3 linked regions of the Coturnix japonica genome follow. The protein of the gene in region 1 interacts with the protein of each later gene in a pairwise test. Links are inferred from orthologs where the notes say so. Each region holds a gene or a part of one and is shown in the gene's direction. Other genes may lie near its edges. The genes, in order: HPGDS, ABHD17A and MELTF.

Region 1 (4,215 bases):
TCATGTGCAGATCTTCCTTCTCATGACTGCTCAGCTTATTTGAAAAGCTTTAAAAAAAAAATAAAAAATTGTATATATATATATAAAATTGGATTCTGCTGCCCTTCTTTACCTTGTCACTTTTCTTTAGAGCAGGCCCTTTGGAGAAAGACACACTCTGGTCTGTGCACTGGCATTGCAAGCCAACTACAATGAATTTGCACATTCTTTGACACTCCACAAACTGGAGATGACTCGAAGTTTTTAAAACCCCTAATGAAAACCAGGTAGGAAGACAGTTGATCATTAATTGACAGGACAAAAGCTTACCCCATTTTCTCTCTTCTGCAGTTTTGAAGGGAAAATACTGGTCACTGAGTTTGTTCAACTTTCTGATCCTCTGCAGTTGGTAGAACAATGCAGTGTTGTACTTCATAGTTTAGACTTTGATATTATCTCATATTCAAGTGAGTTCATTCCAGTGCAAAATGCTGTAAAAACCAGAGAACCGCTCCTATCTTCATAGGAGTGAGGCTGAGGGAGTTGAGCTTATTTAGCTTAAAAAAGTGAAGGCTCTGTGGAGAACCCATTGCAGCTTTGCCAGTACTTGAAGGGAACTTACCAGCAGGAAGGGGATCAACTTCTTCCACAATCTGTTAGTGACAGGACAATGGAGAATGGCTTTAAAACAGGTAATGGTACAAAATAATGATCCTCTAATGTTTGTTTCAGAAAACAGAACAGTGAAATTAAAAAAAAACAATAATTAATCGTGGATTATATGAAAGAGTTCATAAGTATTAGTATTCAGCCTTGCTCACCATTGGGACAAAGGATAAAAGGTCATGTTAATATTTTTATGAAATCATTCAGATATTTAAGCATTATTTACGTAAAAAAACAAACACCCCTAATTTCCACAAGTGATAAGAACAGTAACAGAGTGCAGAGTACTAGCATGTGTTATTTATGTGCAAAGTTCACTAGAATCCCCTTTCTCCCCCTTCACTGTTAACAGTAAGAAGCTCCCAAATCTCTTTATGAAAGCACTTGGAAGTTGAATTTGCTTTATTTGTTTGTTTGTTTTTCTTATTTGTCTCCTGTGTTTTAACGTAATAACAGCCACTTAAATTCTTGTCCTTTAACTCAGTCAGAGCTGAAGGGCTTTCTGTTAAAGATCAAAGACACATTGTGTACCTTGCTCCCTCCTTAATTAAATAAATAAATAAGTAAATAAAACAATCTTCTGTCTCAGTGTAATAGTTAATAATTATTTTTTTAAAAGTCCCCAGGCTTGCTTCTTTCCCAAGGAAATGATGCATTTGCCTTGCGAGATAGTGTGAAAGAGTCAGGATCGGCAGAGTTGTCACTGGGGGAGTGGTTTGCATGTTAACAAACACTATATGTAAGCCTTTCCCACAAGGGCCAGCCTTCAGAGCACCTCCTGTGCACCGACGAAGAGACTGCACCACTGCAGCCAAGTGAGTCCTATTTCAGCTTTGCTTACTGCAATATAGTTTCTCTTCTTCCCACTTTCTTCTCCTGATCTCCTTCTGCTGCTTAAGAAGCTGCACAGTATTTGCTGTCTGAAAATCACACTATTTGAATGACAAGTTCTGAGAGTACCTCATTTTTATAATTTTGTTAAGTTTATTGAACTTCTATGGCTGATGCTTGCTGGCATGCTGAGGGATAACCCTGAGCTCTACAATTCAGCTGCACTATATACCCCCCTTTTAGCTGCTTACAAACATAATTAAGCTTCCACCTGTACTTTTGACACCTGTATAGATGTTCGCACTGCCACAAACAAGCTTCAGCTATATCTTCTCAGATATCTTCTATCAGATCAGTTATATCTTCTGCAGACTGCAGCAAGTCCCCATCTCTCATTAGTAGCTGATGCAATCAGCACTGAGCAGCTCTCACTTCAGATAACTGTCAGAGCAATGCATTCAAAAGGCAAAAAATACATAAAAAACTAACATGGGTTAAGCATGCAAGGCTCTGCAGAGGGCTTCCAGTAAGCAAGAGAGCATTTTTGAGCAATATTCTGCTAGATGTAATGACTAACACATGCACTTGCTTATGTAACCAAAACAAATCTAGGCTAATGTCAGAGAATTAGATACATATTAAGCAGCACTAACCAGTTCCTCTAGATCATTTTTACTCACTGTTCTATTCGTTTTCCAAATTCCCACCTGTTCTCTGGCTCTCATTCTAATTCCTACCATTATTTTATGGAAGAAATCCTTCTGTAACTGTTTCTACTTAATGTATTTTTCTCCATTCGAAAACACAGTTTTTATCTTCTACTTCAAAAGGATTCTCTAAGTATCTGTCCAGGATTTTTGTCTTTAAAATCTTGCTGCCTTCATTTGTCTGTGTGCATAATTGTCCTGGGCATATTTTCTCTGCTGAAAGCCATCCATTAGACAAGATGACTTCTTGAATTCCAGTTTTGTGCAGATACAAATGTGTTGTCCTCAAAGTAGTGAACACCTACACCACTGATGGAGATAGCCTGTAATCTCAGGGTTTGCTCAAGATTTCTAGTAGCTGTTTCTCATGCACAGCCTCCTGCTCAGCTGCTAGAAAGCAGAAATTGTTGAAAATATGGATCACTTTTGAGCAAAATCACACTAGCAATTTATTACACTAGCAGCCATTGCTGGTTAGGTTGGTGTGCCACTTGCTGATTAACAATTGGCATGCCATGCTGCTGAAAGATATGCACATGAATATATGGAGGCTTATCATGCAGGCTGCAAACTTCAAATAATCAAACGTATTCACCCTGTTACTAGTTAATCCAGGAGGAAAATAAATAGAATCTGCCATACCCACACAGCTCATACACAGTGTAAACAACTTCACGTATCTGGAGTCCAACTACTAGCACTCCCATAAAATAAACTATAGCAATGAACTGAGAAAGTTAAATACTTAGTGTTGCCCCTCCTTAGAAGAGACTGGAAAATAGTGCTGGAATGACTCTTTAAAAGTAAGAGCCTGAAATTAAATAGGAGAAAAAACAAGGGCATTCAGCTAATAACAGACAGATGTTTCTATGCTTTGGATCTGGGTAACAAATGACAGAGGAATCCTGTGATACCACCTGCCTATTTTGTACCAGGTGGTATTTGTGGAGGTGGAAGAGTGGACCTTCATGGTCTACCTCTGCCTACTCCTGCTCCCAGATAATTAACGTCAGGATACTCCATATAGTCTTGTGCTGAGCCGAGCTTGAGTAGAAGCAAGTCTCCTTTCAGTGTTTAGAGGGAGATTATAAACAGGAGAAAAATCAACATTTTACATGGATAGATCAGAACAGGACAAGGGGAAATTGTTTTAAGCTGAAGGAGGGGATACATCAATTAGATGTCAGGGAGAAGTTTTTCCACAGAGAAACTCCTGAGGTACTGGTGCAGGTTGCCCAGACAAGCTGTGGATGTAACATCCTTGGAAGTATTCAAAGCCAGGCTGAATGGGGCCCAGGGCGGCACAGCCTAGTGCCTGGTCTAGCAGTTGGCATCTTTATCCATGGTAGGAGGTTAGAACTTGATGATCCTTGAGGTCCCTTCCATCCCAAACCTTTCTATGATAACACATAAGGATGTACAAAAAGTAGGAGTGCTTTACAAACTTGCTGTGGTACAATAACTTGCCAGCCAAAAAGAACACAAGTCTCTAGCTGCTTGCTTCAGATAAGTATTTTGTACCAAGACCTGGGCACAGACCAAGGAACCCACAATCATTAGCACTGTCCCAGTGCCTGTGGCTTCCATTATAAAAAACTAAAATGGCTGAAAATTACTGCTCAGTAAGTGCATTACTCTCAAGTGTAGCAACAGATAGGTTGAGGCTTTACATGTCAAGCAGTTGGTGAGCATAAGTCAGTAGAAACTGGACATTTACCACCAGATGTAGGTGATCCCCAGCCGTTAGACCAAGTATTGCTCAGAGCTATAGGTCCACACTTCTCATTACCAGTCTGTTGGACAAGACCAGCGAAGTCCAAGGAGCACCTTAACCCTTTGTCTCCTCTGGCTCATTCTGCTGTGAAATTAACATCAAATTAACTGGAAAGACACCACTGCAATCAGAAAATAAGAGCACTGGGTCTGACAGAGCAAAGTGTGCCACCACTCCAGAGCAGAGCAAGAGGGTAAAGAAGATCTGGTGGGCAGTTCTGGAGACGTCCACCAGTTGATGTCTGCAGCATTGTTTTAT
Region 2 (4,110 bases), on another chromosome or scaffold:
CCATCCTATTGCTGGATGGGGACTACCACGGCTTTGTCTCTGCTCTCCTTCCCCATAGGCTTCGACTGTCGCTGTGGGAATCTGTTCTGTGCCATTCACCGATACTCAGACATGCACGCCTGCCCCTACGACTACAAGGCAGAAGCTGCTGAGAAGATCCGGAAGGAGAACCCCGTCGTTATAGCTGAGAAGATCCAGAAGCTGTGAACGGGGCCGAGCAGCTCGAACTCCAGCCTGGCAGCCTGGTGCTCCTCCCCGTCCTCCCAGCCTTCCCCCCTCCTCCCAGCCCCGTCAGTGGATATGGGGATCCAGCAGCACACGCAAACCAGCACCCAGACCGGGATACTCCTTGCACCTCCTTGACAGAAGCATGGTGTTCCTCCTCTCCCTTCAACCCTTCAGGGCTCAGCAGATCCATTTCAGTCCAGCTTTCACGAGGACACGGGCCCGATTCTGCCTCACCCGCTGCAGCACTGAGACCACAGCATTCCTGCTCCCCATCCAACCCACCCCTTCGTCCCACGGCTCCAGGTCCTGCAGACTGCCTGGGACTCACGGCTGGAGCTCCGAGCTGCCTCCAGACTCCCCTCCCTCCACCCCACTCCCCTCCTTCCCACAATGGCTGCAGAGCTGAGGGGTCCCAGCAGCGATCCCAGCCCTGCTCCCCAACAGCTGTTTGGTCTCAGATGCAGCAAAGAGGATTCTGTAGTTTGAAAGCTCCCAACCCCCACACCCCCCTTTTTTCCCCCACCCTTTGAGAAGCTGTTGTTGAAGCAACTGCATCGTTAAGCTGCAGAGTATGGCACAGTAAAGTTATTTTGTGGCTTGCAGTGACACAGGTCAGGGCCTGGAAGCAAATAGTGCTGTGGGGTGGGAGGAGAAGCACAAGGGGGGCCATTGGTGGGGGGAGCAAAGTGTGAATGGAGGCTATTCACCTGGGGAAGGGAGGATATATGGGGGGCTTTGGGGGACATGAGAGCAAACATTGAGGCTCTGGGGAAGGGAACTGAAGCAATGGGGTGGAAGGAGGGTTGGCATTGCTGCATTATGCTGAAGCCCCATTGCATCAAAGATTGCAATGCAGAGGAACCCCACGGTGGAAATGTGGAGCTATGCAGGAGTTATAGGGAGAGAACCTTCCCCATTGATTGGCAGCCTGAGCTCCACGCTGCAGGAAGGCAACCATGCAGCGCTGGGAAGGTGCCAGCACTGCGGGGGGGGAGCGCTCAGTGCAGTGCAATGCAATGCAGTGCAATGCAATGCAATGCAGCTCAATGCAATGCAATGCTACGCAATGCTGTTGTCACTTCCGTCACTTCCCGGCGCGCCGGCGGTGGGCGGAGTTTGGGGGGGGGCCGCCATGCAGCTCCAGCGCCGCCCCCGCCTCGGCGGCCCGCAGCGACCGGGAGTCCCGTAACAGCAACCAGCAGGGAGGGGGGGGCGGCGAGAGACCCCGGGATGTGCAGGTATAGGGGGGTGTGGGGATGGGGGGGTCTGAGGGAGATGGGGGGGGTCGGGGGGTCCGCTGTGTGCGCTGAAGTGGGGGGATGTGGGGTGGAGGGGGGGCCCGTCTGTGCATGGTGTGGGGCTGGGGGGGCTCTGTGTGCTATGGGGGTCCCGGTGCCCCCCTGCCCCATAGGTCTGGCTCAGCCTGAGGCTCGTATAGGGCTGTAGAGGGGCAATAGGGAGCGGGGACTGGGCCTGAAGGAGGGGGGGATGTACCCCCACCCCCCACTGTGATGTCTGTGCGACCCTCTGTAGGGTGAGGGTGGCTGTCAGTGTGTACACCCAGCAGGCACTGCACCCAACACCCCCACCTATATCCCCTATATCCCCCCTTATATCCCCTATATCCCCCCTTATATCCCCTATATCCCCTCTTATATCCCCTATATCCCCATCCCCCCCCCTTGGCCATGCGGTGACACAGGTGAGGGCACCATACAGGCGTGTGCAAGCACAGCCGTGTGTTCATCGCCTGCCTCTGCTGCGTGGACACACGCCTGCCCATGTCACACACACGCGTGGCCCCGCAGCTGTGAGCACAGGGAGACCCCCAGCATGAGGGGGGTGGGCAGGGGTCGGGGCTGCATCCCCTTGTGTGCCCCCCATCCTCCTCATTCCCAGCCCTTTGGAGGCAGCTGTGTTGAGCCCCGCGGGGTGTGGGCTGCTCTGACATTCCTCAGCCTGGAGCCTGTGCCCAAACTTGCAGAAAATAGTCGCTTTTTTTTTTCTCTTTTCCCCTCCCTTCCCCTTTCCCCCCCTTTTCTTACATTAGGAGCTCTGTGCTCCAGCTGCACACGCGTGCTTTGGGGCCCTCGCCAGCATCATGTGTGTGTGTGTGTGTATTTGGGGGGGGGGATGAGGGGCAGAGCTGTATGTGCAGCTGTTTGTGCTCCCAATCCCGCTGTGCTCACCTCACTGTGCTCTGCAGGGTCCTGTGCGTGGGCTGGGTTGCTTGGGAGGTGTTGGAGGATGGGTTTGATGCAGGGGGGGCTCAACAGGAACGTGGGGGTGTCCAAAGCATTGGCACGGTGTAACCCTCGGCTTGTTGATGTGATCTGTGTCCTCCTGCTCCTTGCAGGCTGCCTGCAGGCACACGGATGGCGGCCGCCCCGACCCTTGAGGGACTGCAGGCTGCCCCACACATCTGGCTGCCGTGGTAAGGAAGGGGCGTCCCAGCATTGCTTTGGATCCTGCCTTGCTCCCAGCACGGCTTCCATCATGAACGGGCTGTCCATCAGCCAGCTGTGCTGGCTGTTCTGCTGCCCGCCATGCCCCAGCCGCATCGCTGCCAAGCTGGCCTTCCTGCCCCCGGAGCCCACCTACGCCGTGGTCCCTGAGCCGGAGCCCATCGGCAGCACCAGCACCGGGTCCCTCCGAGGCGGCGCTGCGGGGCGGTGGAAGCTTCATTTGAAGGATCGGGCTGATTTCCAGTATTCCCAACGGGAGCTGGACAACATTGAGGTGTTTGTCACTAAGAGCAGCCGAGGGAACCGCATCGGTTGCATGTACGTCCGCTGCGTGCCAGGAGCCAGGTGAGTGCTGGGCCTGGGGCTCCTGCTGGATGCCACCTCCCTGCCCGGCCCGACCCGGCGCCGTGCTGCGGGGTGGGTGAGCTCAGCTCTAGGAACCTGTTTGGCTTGTGGTTGCAATCGGGAATGGGACTGAACAGGTTGAAGGAGGGAGTCGGGGTGCAGCTGCAGGCTACAGGGACCTCAGTGTCCCCTCCTGGCTGAGGCTGTCCTCGACGTGCCCTTCTGATGTCACACTGATGATGTCGTGCTCTGGTTGCAAAGCTTCTGTAGAGCCCAAACAAACCTCTGACCCTACAGAGACCACGGGGATGGTCTGCAGCCCCCAGCCCTGGGGCAAGCTGTGTTGGTGTGGCTCTCTCACTTAGTGGGCATGTTTAGAAGAACAATAGGATCAGAAGGCAGAAGGGATCAGGGTCCAGCTTGTCACAGACCACCCCATAGGTCTGTAAGGGAGGAAGAGTTCAATTTGGTGCATAGATTGTTCTCACTGTGACAGCGCTGTCCCTGCTGCCTCCATGAGGCCCAGATGTGAGTGGGGCAGAGCTAAGTTTGGGCTTTGCAAAGCCTGCGTGCTCTGCCTGGCCCCACGCAATGTGCCAGGTGTACCTGGGACATGCAGGCTGCTGGCAGGGCTGTCTGCTCCCATCCTGTCCTGCTGTGCATCTCCAGGGAGAGGAAACAGCCACGGGATTGCTCTGCCTGCACATCCGCTGCTGGCCCCGCTCCCCATCTGCCTGCGGAAGTGGTGGATGACACACAGGCCCAGGAAGGTCCCATCTCCATCCTGCTGCTGCCTTCCTGCCGGGGAGTCACTCCATCCCCACTTTGGGGTGGTCCATCACCACACAAGGAGCTGAATCAGAGGCGTCTCCCCCCATAGTGAGGGGCTGGGGGAGGAGTGGGCTGCACTGCCTCCCCCAGCTGAGCTCCCACGCGCCTGTTCTTCGTGTTAATTTGGATGATGAACGTTGTTTTTCCCCTTATGGTGGAAATTTCTTGTGCCTTGTCACTCCCACAATTCGCTTCTCTCTCTCCCAAGGTCTGGTGTGTTGCCAGACTCAGGAGAGGGGAA
Region 3 (3,646 bases), on another chromosome or scaffold:
CATACGCATCTGCAAGGTGGCTCCAGAAAGCAGACCTGAGCTTCTCAAAGCCAGGACTGTGCCCTTCTGTGAAAAGAACGCTGGCACAGAAATTCAGAAACCTGCAGCATCTGATGGTTAATAAAAAGATTTCACAGAATCCCATGGGTTGGAAGGGACCTCTCAAAATCATCTGGTCCAACCCCCTGCTAAAGCAGGTTCCCTACAGCAGGTTGCACAGGAAAGCATCCAGGTGGATCTTCAGTATCTCCAGAGGAAACTCCAGCACCTCTCCAGGCAGCCTGTCCCTGCTCTGTAACACTCAAACTAAAGATATTGTTCCTTGTGTTCGTATGAAACTTCCTGTGTTCCAGTTTGTGCCCATTGCCCCTTGTTCTGTTGCTGGGCACTATGGAAAACAGCCTGGCCCCATCCACTTGGCACCTGCCCACAAGGTATTTGTAAGCAGTGATAAGATTCCCTCTCAATCCTCTCCATGGTATATTCTTCAAGACTTTATGAGCAAGCTGTCCTCAGTGACCTGCTCCAGAGTACCCTTGTTTCTTGTGTCATAAATTCCATCAAGTTTCAGTATCAGACTTGGACCTGTTGCTAGTCCAAATAACTCTAGTATTCTTGTTAATCTGAATGAAAGCAGAAGTGTGAAAGCTCACTGCTGAACTGTTCTCTCTTTTGTAGTAACATTTCCTCTTGCTGTTGTGTTTGCAGCTTTCAGCCTGGAACGTGTGCGGTGGTGCACAGTGTCTAACCAAGAGCTTTCCAAGTGTAAGGACATGAGTAAGGCCTTTGCTGGGGCTGGCATCCTTCCCGCTTTGGAATGCGTGGAGGGAGAATCAGCTGCTAACTGCACGCAGATGATCAAGGTGAGTTATAAACGATAGACGTCAGTGATTTAATTTCCCTGTGTGCTTAATAATAAATCACATTGCAATGTACAGAGCAGTGAACGTCTCATCCAATCAGCTTTATGGCATTCATGTCTTTGGAAAATCAAAGCATATATACATTTCTTTTTAAAAGACATTAAAATGTACATCTGGAACTGAATTCCAGCATGGCACTGTGTCTTCTCTACAGCTAGTCACATATGGCCAGTCATTAGGAACACAAGCAAAGATCTTAAACGTTCTTTCTGAAGCACTAATCTTTGATTTGGGAATTGTATTAGATTTATTTAGCAGATACTTAAGAAGGGGTGGAGTAGTAGGATGGAGACAGCAGTTAAAGCTGTGCTGCTGAGCCTTTAAGTAGATTGTCTGCAGGGAAACTGCGTAATTCTCCTTTTTCAGAGCCTCACCATGGCAGTTGTTGTCTATACCAATGAGTGTCGAGCCAAATCTCCCAGTACCAAACAGGGCACGTGGGGTAGTCAGAGCAGTGAGCAGAAGGCATGCAAATCCAACTGTATTAATTCAGCATGCTCTGTTTGGACAAAAAGCTCAGCTTTGCAAAATGGTGTTTGGAAAACAATTCCCTCCTTAGGAGGGAGTGAGAAACAACAAGTGGAAATTGAAGGAAATGTGGAGGTGGGTGATCACAACTGTCTTCCCTGGAAAAGTGTGAGGGAAGGGGAAGATGACTGGATATGTTAATAACTCTTTGTGCTTGCTGTTGTAAAACTTGATTAGCTGAACTCAGAAACCTGCAGGTGGATAGCATGAGTAAGTGGCTTTCTGATAAGGTGGATCTTCACTATAAGGCTTCAGGCAAGGTCCTTGACACCTCTTCTTTCTGTGCTAATAATCTACTATGTGCTTAAGATGTAGCTTAAGGGCTGCATGGAACACCTGACTCTGCATCTGTGCTGAACTCTGCTCTTTGAGGCCAAAAAGGGGGGTGGGAAACTCTGGCTCAGCAGACAAAGATATGCTGTTTTATAGCACTACCCAACCTGGACTTAGTTCTGTGAACATGTTAGCATATGGATAAAGTATTTTTCTTTGAAGATCCTTAGAAATTGAGAAATGTCTAAATATTAAACTCAGGAACCTGATAATGTTTAATTTGGCCATACTTATTAGTAGGTGATTAAGCACCTCTGTAGGTAATTCTCGAGTGTTGTGACACACAGAAATAAAGTCCTTCTGAAAATAATTAACTTACATTCCCATTGCATCTGTGTCAGAAATCACATGTGGGATTGTCTCATGCTTTTGCTGGGTGTATGGGAAGATCTTTGCTACAAACAGAAATACCCACGCTATTCTTGCTATTCCGCTTCAGCTGCTATCGCAGTATGTACTTAAAGGAGCTGAAGTCTGTAGCCTGTAAAACTACTACTGTCTTTGATGGAAAAATAATATACACATAGTACAGTCCTGGTCTCCTGTGGGCAACCCATCCTATTCTATTTGCTATGCTTTCTTTTCACCACCACTTCCAGAGGCTCATTTTGTTTTCCCTGTGGGTCAGGTCTTTCTGACTCCCAATTCCTCCTGCTGTCAGGTATCTCTGCTAAACAGCAGACTCTGTTTGGTTCCCAAATTGTTGTCCTGGGCCCTGACTCTCCCCAATGGAATATTGGATCAGGTTATTCCAGACTGCTTCTGTTCTTTAAGATGCGAACATCTCCCAGCTTGAACTACTCTACAGGTTCTCCTGGAAATTGGTTCAACTTTCATTCATAAGAAACAGCTCTCAAGACATCTAATGTTTCAGCTAATCAGTAACTTTTTTCTCATTTGAGACAATTCAGTTATATGCTTCAAATTACATGACATCTTCAAATCTGACATAGGTTCCAGAGTGTATTGTCAACACTCTCAGATGATCCCTTGTCACATTTTATGTGTCTCAGCCTGGGGAAAATAGCTTTCTACTAGTCCTAGCCCTACCCTAACCAATGCTCAGCATAATGCCAAGTGATACTGCCTACTACCCTTTCTGGTTCTGAACCAGAGGTAAAGCAAAATGGTAAGAAGCTTGGCATCACCTTAGAAATGCAAAATGTCAATCTGCTGATTGTTTTCTTGGCCATCTCTCAGCTTGTTGGAGATGCTGTCTCCTGGGCACCAGGTTCAGTACACAATGAACAGATAACACAGGTTCTGTAGAGCAGGAGGATGTGTAGCAGTTTTCTCCTTGCTGCTGTGGACGGCCCTATCTGTGCCTACTTAAAATCCAGCATAATTCTAAGCTTCAACATGCATTCTTACCTTGTGTCTGCACAGGATTACTTGGCAGATGCGGTGACATTGGATGGTCGATGGATTTACCAGGCTGGAAAGGAGCATGGCCTGAAACCTGTGGTTGGGGAAGTTTATAATCAAGGTATAATCAGACTAAAAAACTCTTGGGTTACTTAATACAAGTTTATTTTCTGATGCATTTCTACTGTTTCTATTTTATTTTGGGATCCTTTACTTGAAGACCCTGAACTCCAGGTCTTTGGTTCACTAGTGGATATTCCTGTTCATTATAGAGTATGGGAGGAAATGGGGAACAGAGGGCAGCAGCCCAGCCCCACCACTAAGTACATCATGACACTGAGTGCTCAAAACAAAATGTCTTCACAGTCCAGTGTCTGTCTGTCTCTGTTAGGTTTTGAGCACTAGTCAGAGATGAATGGACTGAGTGGCTTCTGATCCACGTAAGTCAGATTAAGTGACTTCACGGTCTCTTAAGATCCTTAAGTCTTAATGCTATG

Evidence for each region.
Region 2: the proteins of HPGDS (region 1) and ABHD17A interact in binary tests that used the Homo sapiens proteins (3 or more experiments, as listed by UniProt). The two-hybrid records come from large-scale screens. The link is inferred for Coturnix japonica from reciprocal best matches to the Homo sapiens genes HPGDS and ABHD17A.
Region 3: the proteins of HPGDS (region 1) and MELTF interact in binary tests that used the Homo sapiens proteins (3 or more experiments, as listed by UniProt). The two-hybrid records come from large-scale screens. The link is inferred for Coturnix japonica from reciprocal best matches to the Homo sapiens genes HPGDS and MELTF.

Annotation. Positions count from the first base shown.
Region 1 is NC_029519.1:32,915,355-32,919,569, reverse strand, and holds the start of HPGDS (hematopoietic prostaglandin D synthase), read left to right. Parts: upstream 1-1,339; 5' UTR 1,340-1,460; intron 1,461-4,215. UniProt on the Homo sapiens protein: Bifunctional enzyme which catalyzes both the conversion of PGH2 to PGD2, a prostaglandin involved in smooth muscle contraction/relaxation and a potent inhibitor of platelet aggregation, and the conjugation of glutathione with a wide range of aryl halides and organic isothiocyanates.
Region 2 is NC_029543.1:1,377,628-1,381,737, forward strand, and holds the start of ABHD17A (alpha/beta hydrolase domain-containing protein 17A), read left to right. Parts: upstream 1-1,309; 5' UTR 1,310-1,466; intron 1,467-2,584; 5' UTR 2,585-2,724; coding exon 2,725-3,038; intron 3,039-4,110. Other genes in the region: AN1-type zinc finger protein 5-like, read left to right, coding at 59-207. UniProt on the Homo sapiens protein: Hydrolyzes fatty acids from S-acylated cysteine residues in proteins. Has depalmitoylating activity towards NRAS. Has depalmitoylating activity towards DLG4/PSD95. May have depalmitoylating activity towards MAP6.
Region 3 is NC_029524.1:10,702,079-10,705,724, reverse strand, and holds part of MELTF (melanotransferrin), read left to right. Parts: intron 1-708; coding exon 709-863; intron 864-3,170; coding exon 3,171-3,270; intron 3,271-3,646. UniProt on the Homo sapiens protein: Involved in iron cellular uptake. Seems to be internalized and then recycled back to the cell membrane. Binds a single atom of iron per subunit. Could also bind zinc.